3 linked regions of the Tribolium castaneum genome follow. The protein of the gene in region 3 interacts with the protein of the main gene of each other region in a pairwise test. Links are inferred from orthologs where the notes say so. Each region holds a gene or a part of one and is shown on either strand. Other genes may lie near its edges.

Region 1 (4,201 bases), on a different chromosome or scaffold from region 3:
CCGAAATGAACCGAAAAATCACCAATTTAAATCCAAAATTATCTTATTTTTGGCTTTTCCAGGCACGTTATCCAGTCAAAAACGCACTTTTTTCCAGAAAAGTTCATTAAAAACAGGCCGAAAAGTCATGTTATTTTAGCCTTTGAGAAACTAACAATTTTTTTCGAAAAATTTACGTAAAATTGCATGAGTAATTACAGAATTAGTTCGAAATAAATGTTATCTTATCTTCTTTAGGTTGAGACTGATTTATTTTGCAAGAACTTTTGAAAACACAGCTAAAAATCACAAAATAAATTGAAATTGTTGTTAATTTATCCCGATTTAGCTGTTTTTTGAGCAAAATTCCGTCAAAATAAGCCGCAAAACCACATTTCGTCAATAATCAAGCTCTGTTTTAAAATTTTAAGTGTAAAGATGTCAAATATTTTGTTAAAATCGGCTTGGTCTCGTAGAATTTTTTGTAAGGAATTTAACTCTACAATTTTTTTCTAACATTTTTGTTGTATTTTTAACCATTATTTAACCATAATTTTTAGTCGTCAGTTTTTTTCAGTCTTTTGACTAATTTAAAACGATTTGGAGCGATTTTGTACTTGGTTTCGAGTCCGTACTCCCAACACACAACCCTCGACCTACCTGTATCTGCAATTCTAACGCAGCAATGATGTCAATTTTAGCTAGAGTGACTTGTTCTTGCAACCGTCTCTCATAGCTTTGCACCACTTCATCAATCTCAAACTCGCCCGAATTCGCCTAACAGTCATGCAGTTAGTACACAAAAACACAATTAGAACCAACACAAAACTTACAACTTCCTGTTGACTAGTCGTAACAATCCGACCCCTCAACTGCCGATTAAGATCGTCAATTTCCTCGTTCAAACTCTTCAATTTCTTCTCATGCTCAACGTTTAACTCATCGACACGATTATCGTAATCCTCCCTCAAAATCTCCAATTCAGCGTGATACTTATTCTGCAGCTCACTCTTCATGAGACTTAAATCGAACTTGAGCAAATTCCGAAACTCAAATTTGCCAATTTCGGACGTGAGACGCTCAAAATCGGAATCGGACAAATCCTCCAAATTGAAACCATCGAAAATTTTAATCAACTGAACCAAACTCTGGCGCAATTTAACCAAATCCTTCCTTGTGTAGTCAACTCTAGTGTCGCCCCCTGGCCCCACAAAGTCCGAACTGAGCTCGGAACACGAACTCGATTCGGACATTTTGCGGCTCTGCTGACTGAACACCTCCTCCGAGTAACTAAAATTGCAAAATTACGACAAATTTTTTTACAAAATCAAACAAACTTTTTCTCCAAATCGGCGCATTTCTTCTCAAAGTAGGTCCGCAACTCCTCCATTTCCTTCGAATGTTTGGCGTCCAACTCGCTCTTAATCTCGCTCTCACACTGGGCTTTATCCGAACTAAACTTGGTCTAAAAACACACATTAAAAAATTATCACTTTGTGACTTGACCAAACCTTCAGATTGCTAATCTCGTTCTCGAGCGCCCTTTTGCTCATCTCCACGTAACTAGCGAACGCCGCCTTCAACTCGCCGAAAGGCGCCAACTGTGGGGGCCCCAAACTGTGCTCAAACTGCGCGCAAATCTCGTCAAAGTCAAACGATTTTTTGTGGTCCTTGAGCAAGTTTGAGGTTTTTTCCAGCTGTTCTTGCAACTGCGCGATTTCGCTCCTAAAGTGTTGTTTCATTTCTTCGCGATTTAAAATCGCCTGTTGTAACGAACTGGTCAATTTTTCGATTTGTTCGTCTCTATGTACAATAGCGTCGCGGTACTCGACTAACTTATTATGGCATTCCTCTTGGAACTGTTTGTACTCGGTGGTGGTGGTCCCCAGACTCGACGTGTTGCTCAACAATTCGCGAAATGAGTCGAGTTCGGAAGTTAGGGCGGCAATAGTGGTGTTTTTGACTGCGATCAAATCCTCAAAGTCTTTGACTCGTTTGCAAACCTCGTCGTTTAGGTCGAAATTGACGCTTTTGCCGGCGTTGTAACTGTTTAGGAGTTTGTCGTCGAGGTCCACGTTGGCGAAAATGTTCAAGCTTTCGTCGGAATCGGACTTGAACTGGTCGTTACTTAGGATTTCCTCGAGGATGCTTTGAGCGTGTGTCCGCCCCTCCATGTTTGTACTAATGAAGCGCTCTAGCCCGTTTAGACTAACGAAACTACTCGTGTAACTATCACTAAGGGATGGCGGTTTGGGCTCCAGTGAGATCCTCTCATCTGGGGGGAAATTGACGAGCAGCTCTGGCAACGAACGGTCGTTTTCGACGCTTGATAGGTGCTCGGAGATCGTGCTTGTCTCGGACAAAGGCGGGGTTAGGGACAGAGTCAAGCTGCTACTACCGGAGTCTCCAAGGGGGGCACCCTCCTGGCCGAAGTCTATATTTAGCCCACATTGCACGTTCTATTAATAAGACACTTACCCGATTGGTCGAATCGCCCTCCATTATGCCACAAAGGTTTATTTTAACCCATTAAACAATAAATAAAATTGCAACAAACGTCAAGTGTGACATTTTCGAGTTTGTTTGTTGTTGTTATAGGCGACTTGATTGATTGGTTTGGCGACAAATTGGGAAAATGGGACGTTAGAATTTTTATTTAATTTAATTGGGACGAAATGGCACCTAATTGTACAAAATGACACGAAGTACGGCACTCAAAAAGCAAACAATTTGAAAATTTTACGGTTAGGAATTGGGCGATTGAGCCGACATCTGGCACTATGAACATTACAGTCGACCAACTGTACCCACGATTTTTTCTACAGCCAAGGTCACACCAGGAAAATTAATAAAATAATCGTAAATCATTATAAAAACATCAATAAGCTGTAACATCTCCTGACCATTCTAATGTGTTCCTATTACAAATTAAAATTTAACTGCGTTTTATTTCTGCATTTTTTATTCTCATATTCAAGCAATGCAAACTGATTTTTTTCACCCCCTCTATATCCTGCAATTTTCTTTATTTTTGCAGGAGATTAAGCCCTTCGACTGTAAAAAAATCATGTTCGGACAAAAATTCTTTAAAATTTCCCGATTTCGTAAACTTTATCTTTAAAAATTCATTAAGGTCCCAAGGGGTGTTTGTCCGAACATGATTTTTTTACAGTCGAAGGCCCTATCAAAGGGCTTATTCTCCTGGAAAAATAAAGAAAATTGCGGGATAAAAGGGGGTGAAAAAAATCAGTTTGCATTGCTTGAATATGTGAATAAAAAATGCAGAAATTAATTGAATGGTCAGGAGATGTTCTACAAATGTGATATACAAGTCATCGTAACAGCTTATTGATGTTTTTATGATTTACGATTATTTTGCTAATTTTCTTGGTGTGAACTTGGCTGTATGGTGGGTCGACTATAATGTTCATGGTGCTATCTTCACCGGTAGGTCAAGTGACCTGTCATTTTCACGCACCAAATTCAAACCGGACAACTTGCGCAATAACCAAACAAATATTTGAGCTGCAAATATGCGTCTTTTATGAATAAAAATTACTATTGTAATACCTTGATCCGTCTAGACCATTGTAAATCATTGATTTGCTTGTAAAGATAACACGATTTAATAAATGTCCCCATTTAATTTTCGCGTCATTATTTAACCGAAAATGTCCAGTTTTTACTTGTACTATACCGCGTGCGTGGGTAAGTCCCCCAATAGTCACATAATCGAACGTAACCAATTTTTTACCAGCGAATTTGATTGCGTTCACTGTGGGGCTTGCCTACGGGTTGGCGTCCCCCCTCCTCCCGAGACTCAACGGAAGTGTGGACCCCGATAACAACCCACTGGACCCACCCCCAACCCCTTCCGAGGAGTCTCTAATCGCGTCTTTACTATCACTTGGAGCTATTTTCGGCCCACTTTTAACCGGTCTCTTTGTTGATAAAATCGGGCGGAAAAAAACGCTCCTAATCGTGGCTTTGCCCATAATTGCGTCATTCCTGACCATGGCTTTCGCCCATTCGGTGGTACTTTACTACATCGCGCGTTTGGTCATGGGTGTGGGGGCGGGGAGCGTCTTCACAGTCATGCCCATGTACCTGGGGGAGATCTCCGAGGACCGCAACCGCGGCACTTTGGGGTGTCTCATGTCGACGTTTATCGCCTCTGGGGTGCTTTTCGACTACGCCGTGGGGCCGTTTTTGACCGTTCAGT
Region 2 (4,208 bases), on a different chromosome or scaffold from region 3:
AGCGTCCGCAATTTGGCGGATGTAGCGGGCGCATGTCTCCTCCGGGAAGCGCCTGTTGGGGGCTGCTTGCAGCGCCTTGTAGCATGTGCCTAAACAGGGGGGTTATCAAGGTGGAAAGTGGGGGCACAGTGGTCCAAAGTGGGGAAAACACCCCCGAAATGTTCTTTTAATTTAATTAATTGATTTCTAAAACAACGATGCAAAAAATTCCTAAAAAAACTGTATTGGAACAAAAATACCGCGATGTTTTTCTTCAAAAAAATTGGAAGACAACGTAATTTTTTTAGCGATATTTTGTTCAAACTGGCTAGAAAATCACCCACAGGTATTTATGTTGAAAACTACATTATTCTTGAGTTCTTTTGAATGTTTAAGCATGTTCTATGCGCTCAAACTTACAAAAAACAAAAAAGATGGTAATTTTTTAATCACGTTTCTATGGTAAAAATTTACCTTTTTGTCTAAAATTCTGTATGTTTAAAATCACGTAATTTTTTTATTTTTTTTAACGATTAATTTTTTATTTTTTTGTTGTGAATTCGCTTTAACTGGCGGACAATTAAAAAAATGAACATTATTTAATTTTAATTAGTTTTTTATCAACAAATTTAAAATTCTTCGTTTTTAGGAAAACATGAAGCACGTCTTCGACCAGAAAAAATTAGGTCAAAAAAATGTTCTTTTTCACTTTTTTTTAACTAAAAACTCGAAATTTTAATTTTAATTGAAAAAAAATATTTGTGTTAAAAGGTCCCTTTTTTCGTTAGATTTTGATAAATGCCAAAAAACAGACTATTTAAATTCTAAATAGCGCAGCCACCTTGATTTTTTTCAAACCCAAAATAATAGTAAGAATAATAACAATATATAGCTAACAAAAATAGATTTAGTAATAAAAAAGTGAAAAATGAATCTGCTTTTATACACAATATTACACATTTAAATACAACAAATAAATAATATGTCAAAAAACTCATAAATATAAATTTTTCATTCAACTTTGTAGTCTAAACCATTTTTTTTGTTTTTTTTATAAAATCACAAAAACGTCGAGCTTAGGTGTTTCTGTTGTCATTCCATAGATTTTTTATCAATGAAAATATTGATTCGAATGAATGGAGAAAACTAGTTTTTTAATTCATTTTTTAAAGAAAACTTCAGTGCTATTCAAAATAAAATTTATTTATCAAATATTTTACAAAAACAAACCTTTATTAAAAAAATTGTTAGTACAAAAAAAATTCGAGGACGATTTTTTAAAAATTCTGTTTTCAACTTTGTTGAATTTCATTCGTCAAACTTTTCGCCAAGACGTCTCAAAATGTTCATTAGTTTGAAAAATTAAAACTATTATATAATATTAACACTGAAAAAACTTGAGAATTATCAACCTTAGCATAAAAATAGCAGAAAAAACGCTTTTTGGCATAAAAGCATAGTTTTTTAGCCAAACTGACAAATAAAAGTTAAGAAAATTGGTTCATTTGAAAAAGAAAAGCTTAATTAGCAAAATGCTAGGAATCCGAACTTTAGTAATAACTTTCAATATAATAATTTCTCGTATATATGACATGACTTTTTTTACCGATTTACAAAGTTTTATCAAAATAAATTTCGTAAAAAAAAGTATAAAAATTAAATCTACTTTCATATAATATAATATTACAAAACAATGCGAAATAGTTTTACTGACATAACAAATAAACAGTGAAAATACATTTTCATTTAATTTGGTAACAAAAACCAACATTTTTTTGCCTTCAAATTCAGTGCACCATAAATTAAAAATTTTAGTTTAAAGTCTTCTTAACACTGATAATTCAAAGCTTACTCTCGTCATTCCAGATTTTTCAACATTGAAAATATTTTTTTTTGGGAATGGAAAAAACAAATTTTATTGTTTTAAATTGTTTTTATTTAGTTTATAATAGTCAGCCACTTTTCCGTATCCAATGTATTGACCTCAAGACGTTTTTTTAAAATAGTAGTTAATGGTTTTATTTTAGTTAAGACAGCTTTTAGTAGTAACTTTGTTCCCCATTTAACTTAATGTAATAACTAACCCACAAATTTTATAAATCTTTCTCAACCATTTACTGAAATCATTCAAAAATGCTTAGTTTGCAACTTTCAGAAGGCTCTTCTTTTAGAAGATTTTTCCGAATAACTCTTGTTTTTCATTCATTGTTTATTGAGCCCCAATTTAAATGTGTTTTTTTGTTAATAAAACACATGAAATTTAATGATTTCACCAATTTCTGGCGGGTTTTGAGCAGTTTGGACCACTGTACGTGGGGGCTTACCATTGGGGGCGTATTCCAGTATTATGTAGACCCTCGACTCGTCGTGAAAATAGCCATACATTCGCAGAATATTGTTGTGTCTCAAGTGCGACTGAATCTCGATTTCCCTCCGCACTTGGTGCTCGTTATTGAAGTCTTTGATCGCACTTTTGAACAGCACTTTAAGCGCAACGACAAATTTCGACTGTTTTTCGCGAGCTAAGTACACGTTTCCGAATTTACCACGCCCGAGGGGCTTCCCGATATCGAAGTCCGCCAAGGTCCAACGCCGCCCCTTCGAACTCTCCTGAGCCGTGTCACTTGCAGCCCCCTTCTGGGCCTTGTTCTCGGAGAGAGCCCCCTTTTGCGCCGGGGGGCCCTTTTTCGCCGCGGCGCGCGGAACGTTGTTCTCCTTGTTTTGGCACACGGGGGCCTTCCTTTGGGACATATTTACAACAAAAACACTTCACTCCGACTTAACACTTTTGCACAATTTCAACTTGTGATAAGTTCGAATTTGAATTGTCACTTCGTAAGTCAACGGTTTTTCAACTGCCAACACTCCAACACGAAAAACCCAAAACAAATTTGTGTGAAGACAGCTCCCCAAACCAGCTCCTCGAAATTCCGAAGAAACCCGAACATGAAGCCAGTTTCACACTAGCAAAATACGTTTCAATTTGCGTAGATGTATGTTTGGTTGTCAGCTTTGAAACCGTTTAATAAAATAAAAATCCGAAAAAACACTAAACACCCTCTTAAAAATGACATTTTAAGAAAGTCACTTTGCTAATAGCGAAAAACTCAATTATTTACCACAAATTGCTTCTTAATTTTTCCCACTTTTTCACCTAATTTCAATATTTATAGCTCCGCAAATGCACTATCGCCCCATTTCACCCCGAAATCGGTTTTGTCACACAATGCCCTTTTGACCACCAATTCAACAATAAAAAAGACATTTTTCAAAAATAAAATTATGGCCTTTTAGTTGTCGGAACAATGTTAAAAAATATATCCGAAATTGAATTAAAATCGGAAATAAATCAGGCTGAATTACCGGGCCTGCTAACAGATTATCATTTATACTCAATTTATTAGAGCTTTACATGAACAGTCAGACTACAATCAACTTGGTACTATCACTGTTTTCATTAATTATAATTACACAACTGTGTGATAAGTGAAAAGAATTTTCGGTAGAATCGTTTACTACGAGTTCCAATTTTAAATAATTTTTCATGAACGAAATGTACGTACCCCTCATTTAGTTTATGATCCCTAGCTCTCCTTTTCTCCACCGACAACAAACGGTTTAAAGCTATTTTGCGCATCAGGCGGCGTTTGCTTAAAAGGACCGTAAACCATAAACCATAAACCGCCCATGTGTTTTGTTAAAATGTTTTTCACAAGAATTCTGTGAAGGGTGTCCAGTAAATTATCATTTATTGCATCTTTATTTTCTATTTCCCAAAATCGGACAATATTATTACCAAAACAGGCGAGTTATGATAACAGGCGTGCATAAATTGGGCACTATTGAATCCCCAAATACCGGGCACCCTCTCTTTACGTGTTCGAGTCCTAGAAATTCGGCACCGCATCTTATCAGGTCAAAACGGATTATTACCTGATCACCCCTTTTCGGACATCACAGAAAAAATAGGCGAAAAAGACAACTTTACCAAAAAAATTTATTAAAGGTGTGAACATCTAAAAACAAGTTATTTTGTTTTCTTGTAATACAAATTTACGTAGTTTGTGCCATTCTGATACAATATACCTAGATGGCATTGCCACATCAGCGACCCCACTTGGTGCCTATTTCCAAGTCCCTGTACCACTTATCACTGATTTTTTTCCCTAATCGGGACAACAAAGCACATTTGTTGGATATTATCGCAAATTACGTAATCCTACCAGCTG
Region 3 (4,306 bases):
TAGGCATTAGAAAGTTTCAAAATTCGAACAAACAGTCTTATCTTTCTTAGTAATCCATTTGAGGAAAATAAACATGCGGTAGCAACCCTTCCCTGAGTTATTTTAATAACCTCTCTTACAAAGAAAGCTTTAATCACTTTGTAATTCTAGTCAACACTTAATCCCCGATAAAGATTAAGTATCCTTCTTGAAAACATTCTCTTGTTTCGCGTTCCACCGACACCAGCTGGCCAATTCAGGAAAACGCCCGCTAACGTAATCAAACATAAACAAACATCACTCTCCTCTAGTTTGAATTACGTTATCCACAAATGTAAACATTTACATTTATTTAGTATTGTGCTCAAGCCCTTGTTGACCGAACCAAAATTGATAAATAGGGTTTATTCTTATTACGCCAACAAGGGAACAACCTGACGGTTTATGACTTCTGGCTAGTCATAATAAAATGTGACTGAGTTACAAACTGTGGAGAATAATAAAACAAATCGACTGAAATTTCAAGTTTACACATGGCGAAAATTTAGGCAAATATGTGTCTAAATAATAAACCTTGAGAGATATTTATTTCACATTTTCCAAATATGTGCTCACAATTTTCCTGATTTATTTGAACAAAACACCACACGTGTTTGTAACTGAAGTCAAAACATCCCTAATATACAACTTCCTTAGAGATACTCGATGTTTGTCTTCCGCTTTGTTGGAGAAACAGTTCAGTAGCAAATAGAGATAAATGAGAGGCAACAACAATTTTGGATGAGTTTTGTCGACTGAACTGATTATGCAATTTGTTGTTGATTGAAAAAAGGCGCAGCAGTGTTTGTTTTTAAAACCAGACAAATCCCAGTTTATCAAAATCTAAATGTAAGTTTTTCATCTTGTGCGGTAGAATATCTCACCCTCGATCCTTTGAAGTATCCATTACACACAGCCATGTTTTTATGCCCCCTTTATCTCACTTCCTAAGCACAGACAAGACAACTATAATTAATTTTAGGCCCATCCAGCTACGTAAAAAACGTAGACTAAAATAATAACGATCTTAAAATGAACATGAAAAAAAAAGTAAAGAAGGTAAATGACACGTGCCGACAGAAAAGATAAAGACAAAGGTGCACTGAATAAACACTTCTTGATTTAATGCGAGCTAGGGACTGTATAAACATTACAAGTTAATGATTTAATTGGCCATTAAAGAATCGGTTCCATATTTGAACGAAGGTGTACACTGTAAACAATGAAAATTACAAGGTGTGTGTGCAGGTGTACTAAAATTGTAAAACTGTCTTAAAAATAAATTATGCATTTTTCGCTTCGCCATATAAAGTAAATTCTTATCTTTATTTTCCTATGACTGTTCCCACGACTTTACGCAACTTTCCCAAAGTAGGAAAACCGATTACAACAAACTGCAGTCTGATATTATTTCATTCAGAACGCGTCATCGCCAGCCGTATTTTAATTCAGATGCAGTCAAGTCACATAAATTATCTCATCGCTCCAGATAAGCCTCGTATTTCCTTCAACAACAAAAAATATTTCCTTTCAGCATCGAGAAAACGTGCCATCTGCTCGACGTCCCCATTAAAATGTCAACTTTTTCTGATAAAGACATCCGTAAATGGCCAAGAAAAGCGCTTTCTGTTCGTGTCGTTAATATCGACAAGGGCATTTTCATTTAGTTTATTAATTCGTCGGCGGCTATCGCCTACTTGAAAAGTTGAGCGCACTGTTTTCGGGTCGAGTGGTGAAAACGGGGTAGTGGAAATGCACGTGCAATTGATTTTTCCACGTGATGTTCAATCTGGGTCAGAGTTGAGGGCATGTGGGCGAACAGATAGAAGAGACCGTGGGTTCAGGTGGTGATAGGGTTATCAACGACATGGGGGCCAGCAAATTGTACCACAGAAATTAACATTTGTGTTAAAAGCTCAAAAAGTTTCAATTTTTGAAATCGGATGTAATTTTTATTTTATTTTTTGGCTATTTGAAAACGGATTTTGAAATACAAATAAAAAATAAAAATAGAAATTATCCTAAAAAACTTCATTTAATTTAATTTATTAGAAAAGACGCATTTCCATTTGTAGACTTGTTTAATAGTAATCCAACAATTATTTTAAATTTTGTGGCAAAATTAGAGATTTCTGATTATTTGGAATGTTGTTGCAAATCGGAAATGTTTATTATTTCCGAGAATGTAACAAAAATGCACGTGTGTTCGTTACAACCGACTCATAGACCACTTTTGTATATATTTTAAACGTTAAAAACCTTGTCCGTTATCACGGAGTTCCACTGTATAAACATAATTATAGAATAAATAGTTAAATAATTATTCATTATTAAATTTATTTTGTTAGCAAATTAGGTACAAATTGGATTTTTTCAACCCTCATCAAAAACTTGATTCAGTTTTGACCTGCGCTGGAATTTTCCTCCCCTTCGCATCCCAAAGACGATGACTAAACCCACTACAAACTACAACAACCCCTCAGCATTTCCGAGCAGTAGCCAAACACTTGGCAAAACTTACCAAAAAGGACTTGTAGGGGACGGAATAATTAAAGGCCTCGAAGGCGGGCTGTGAAATCCACTATAATTAAAGAACGACATGATTTCAAGCACTTGAAAATTTATGCCACTATTACGAGCGTCCATAAACCGAAGTTATTTTTAAGGGGGCATTTTTTCTTTGCCCTTCTTGTCTCACTTTAAAACGTGAAATTAAAATTAATAATAAACTTTTCGTAGTCACAACAAACCGGCGCACTTTACCACCACTCTATCCTCTCTACACTTCTCCACTGAAATGTTTGGATTCGCTTGACGCAGCCTCAGGTCGTGGATGGACCATGCGTGCGCTGCCTAGTTTCGACAAACTACACTCAAAATGTCTCAAATCTAATCCGTGTGTATGACAAAGACACAAAATCGAGGAAGAGATTGTTTTGGCCAAAGTTGTGGTTTGAGGTGTATCGATTTCGGGGGAAAAACACGTGGGCGAGCATCTTATTACGCAAAAATAAATTTTTAAAATTAATGGGAAATTGTAGCATGTATGAAGAGCTCTTAAAGCGAAATGACGTTAGATTTTCTTTTCATCATTAATTATTAATTAATCAGTGGTGGCTATAAAATCGTCAACGTGATTCACTGATTCCTACTTTAACTTTCAGGAAATTAAACAAATTTTTTCTGATTCAAAGTTTTTATCAAAAAACCCATTCCCAACCTATTCTTTAATATTAATTTATTATTACTTCATTACTACTTAAAAAAACTGAGTAAAAGTTTCTAGTTTATAGAAATGGGAATTTCGGATAATAATGATAATTTATAATGATAACATTGATAACAGAGTGAATAACTTTTAATCACTGTTTATATTTATTTTAATGTAAATTTTCATTTCCACTCAATTTCAGTCACTTCTGTATTTAGAGCTTATTCCAAATCTGGTGGCGAAGTGACATTGCCAAAAGTAACAGAATTTTGGCATTAAACATGTTCTTTCTATTCGGAAATAAAATTAACTAGACGCCCTCTGGTGATGACTTTTGAACTATGTCGAAAACAGTAACGAAATTTTCGTAATTCCACATTTAATTGACATCTAATAAATTGTTGAGCAATTTTGCGTGTATAGTGTTAATTGCTTACATTGGAGAGAATCACTTTAAAAGTACGTGGTGGTAAATACTAGCTTTGACTTTGGTTCTGCGGTTTTTCGTGGTATAAAGTGTTTGTTGTTGGAATTTGAAAGTGGATAAAAAGTGTAAAAGATTTAAATTTTTATTACAAAGTGTTATCAAACAGTTGTCTAATTAAAGACTATAGTAATGGATCACTGCGAACACAAAGTTGGGCTCAAGAAACCAATAAATTAGTGAAGTTTGTGAATTTTAGGTTAGAATTTTTCCACTGATAAAATCATGAAATACTTCGATAAATCAACAAAACTACAACTAAAATTAACAACTGCTAATACACTTAAACGTAAATTATGCCAAAAGGTGGGCTTTTCAATGTCTTTGTAATAATTTTTCAATAAAGAAAGTGAACCAAAAAGTCATTCATTATTCGTGTTTTCCTCGTCATCTCCAATTTGTCAACATTCGTTTCTTCCACCAAAGATACAATAGTCATTCCGCATTGGCAATGTAATAATTGTGAAGCCTCAAAATTCGTACAACGCTCAAAATATCCGAATAAACATTTTCCCGCCATTTATGGTTACTGTTTTCGACCTAGCTCAGTGGCGCCCCCAACGGTAACTTTACTTCCGAATTAAATAAAATAA

Evidence for each region.
Region 1: the proteins of centrosomin (region 3) and Plp interact in a two-hybrid assay, tested with the Drosophila melanogaster proteins (4 studies listed by BioGRID). The link is inferred for Tribolium castaneum from reciprocal best matches to the Drosophila melanogaster genes cnn and Plp.
Region 2: the proteins of centrosomin (region 3) and aurA interact in a two-hybrid assay, tested with the Drosophila melanogaster proteins (2 studies listed by BioGRID). The link is inferred for Tribolium castaneum from reciprocal best matches to the Drosophila melanogaster genes cnn and aurA.

Annotation. Positions count from the first base shown.
Region 1 is NC_087399.1:2,048,046-2,052,246, reverse strand, and holds the start of Plp (pericentrin), read right to left. Parts: upstream 2,805-4,201; 5' UTR 2,482-2,804; coding exon 2,458-2,481; intron 2,403-2,457; coding exon 1,491-2,402; intron 1,445-1,490; coding exon 1,317-1,444; intron 1,270-1,316; coding exon 813-1,269; intron 757-812; coding exon 640-756; intron 1-639. Other genes in the region: facilitated trehalose transporter Tret1, read left to right, coding at 3,651-3,687, 3,737-4,201.
Region 2 is NC_087394.1:2,112,385-2,116,592, reverse strand, and holds the start of aurA (aurora kinase A), read right to left. Parts: upstream 2,816-4,208; 5' UTR 2,731-2,815; coding exon 2,304-2,730; intron 90-2,303; coding exon 1-89.
Region 3 is NC_087398.1:12,873,781-12,878,086, reverse strand, and holds the start of centrosomin, read right to left. Parts: upstream 2,820-4,306; 5' UTR 2,665-2,819; coding exon 2,540-2,664; intron 1-2,539. UniProt on the Drosophila melanogaster protein: Core component of the centrosome throughout spermatogenesis. May participate in mitotic spindle assembly and the mechanics of morphogenesis through an interaction with microtubules, either directly or indirectly. Is a target of several homeotic genes.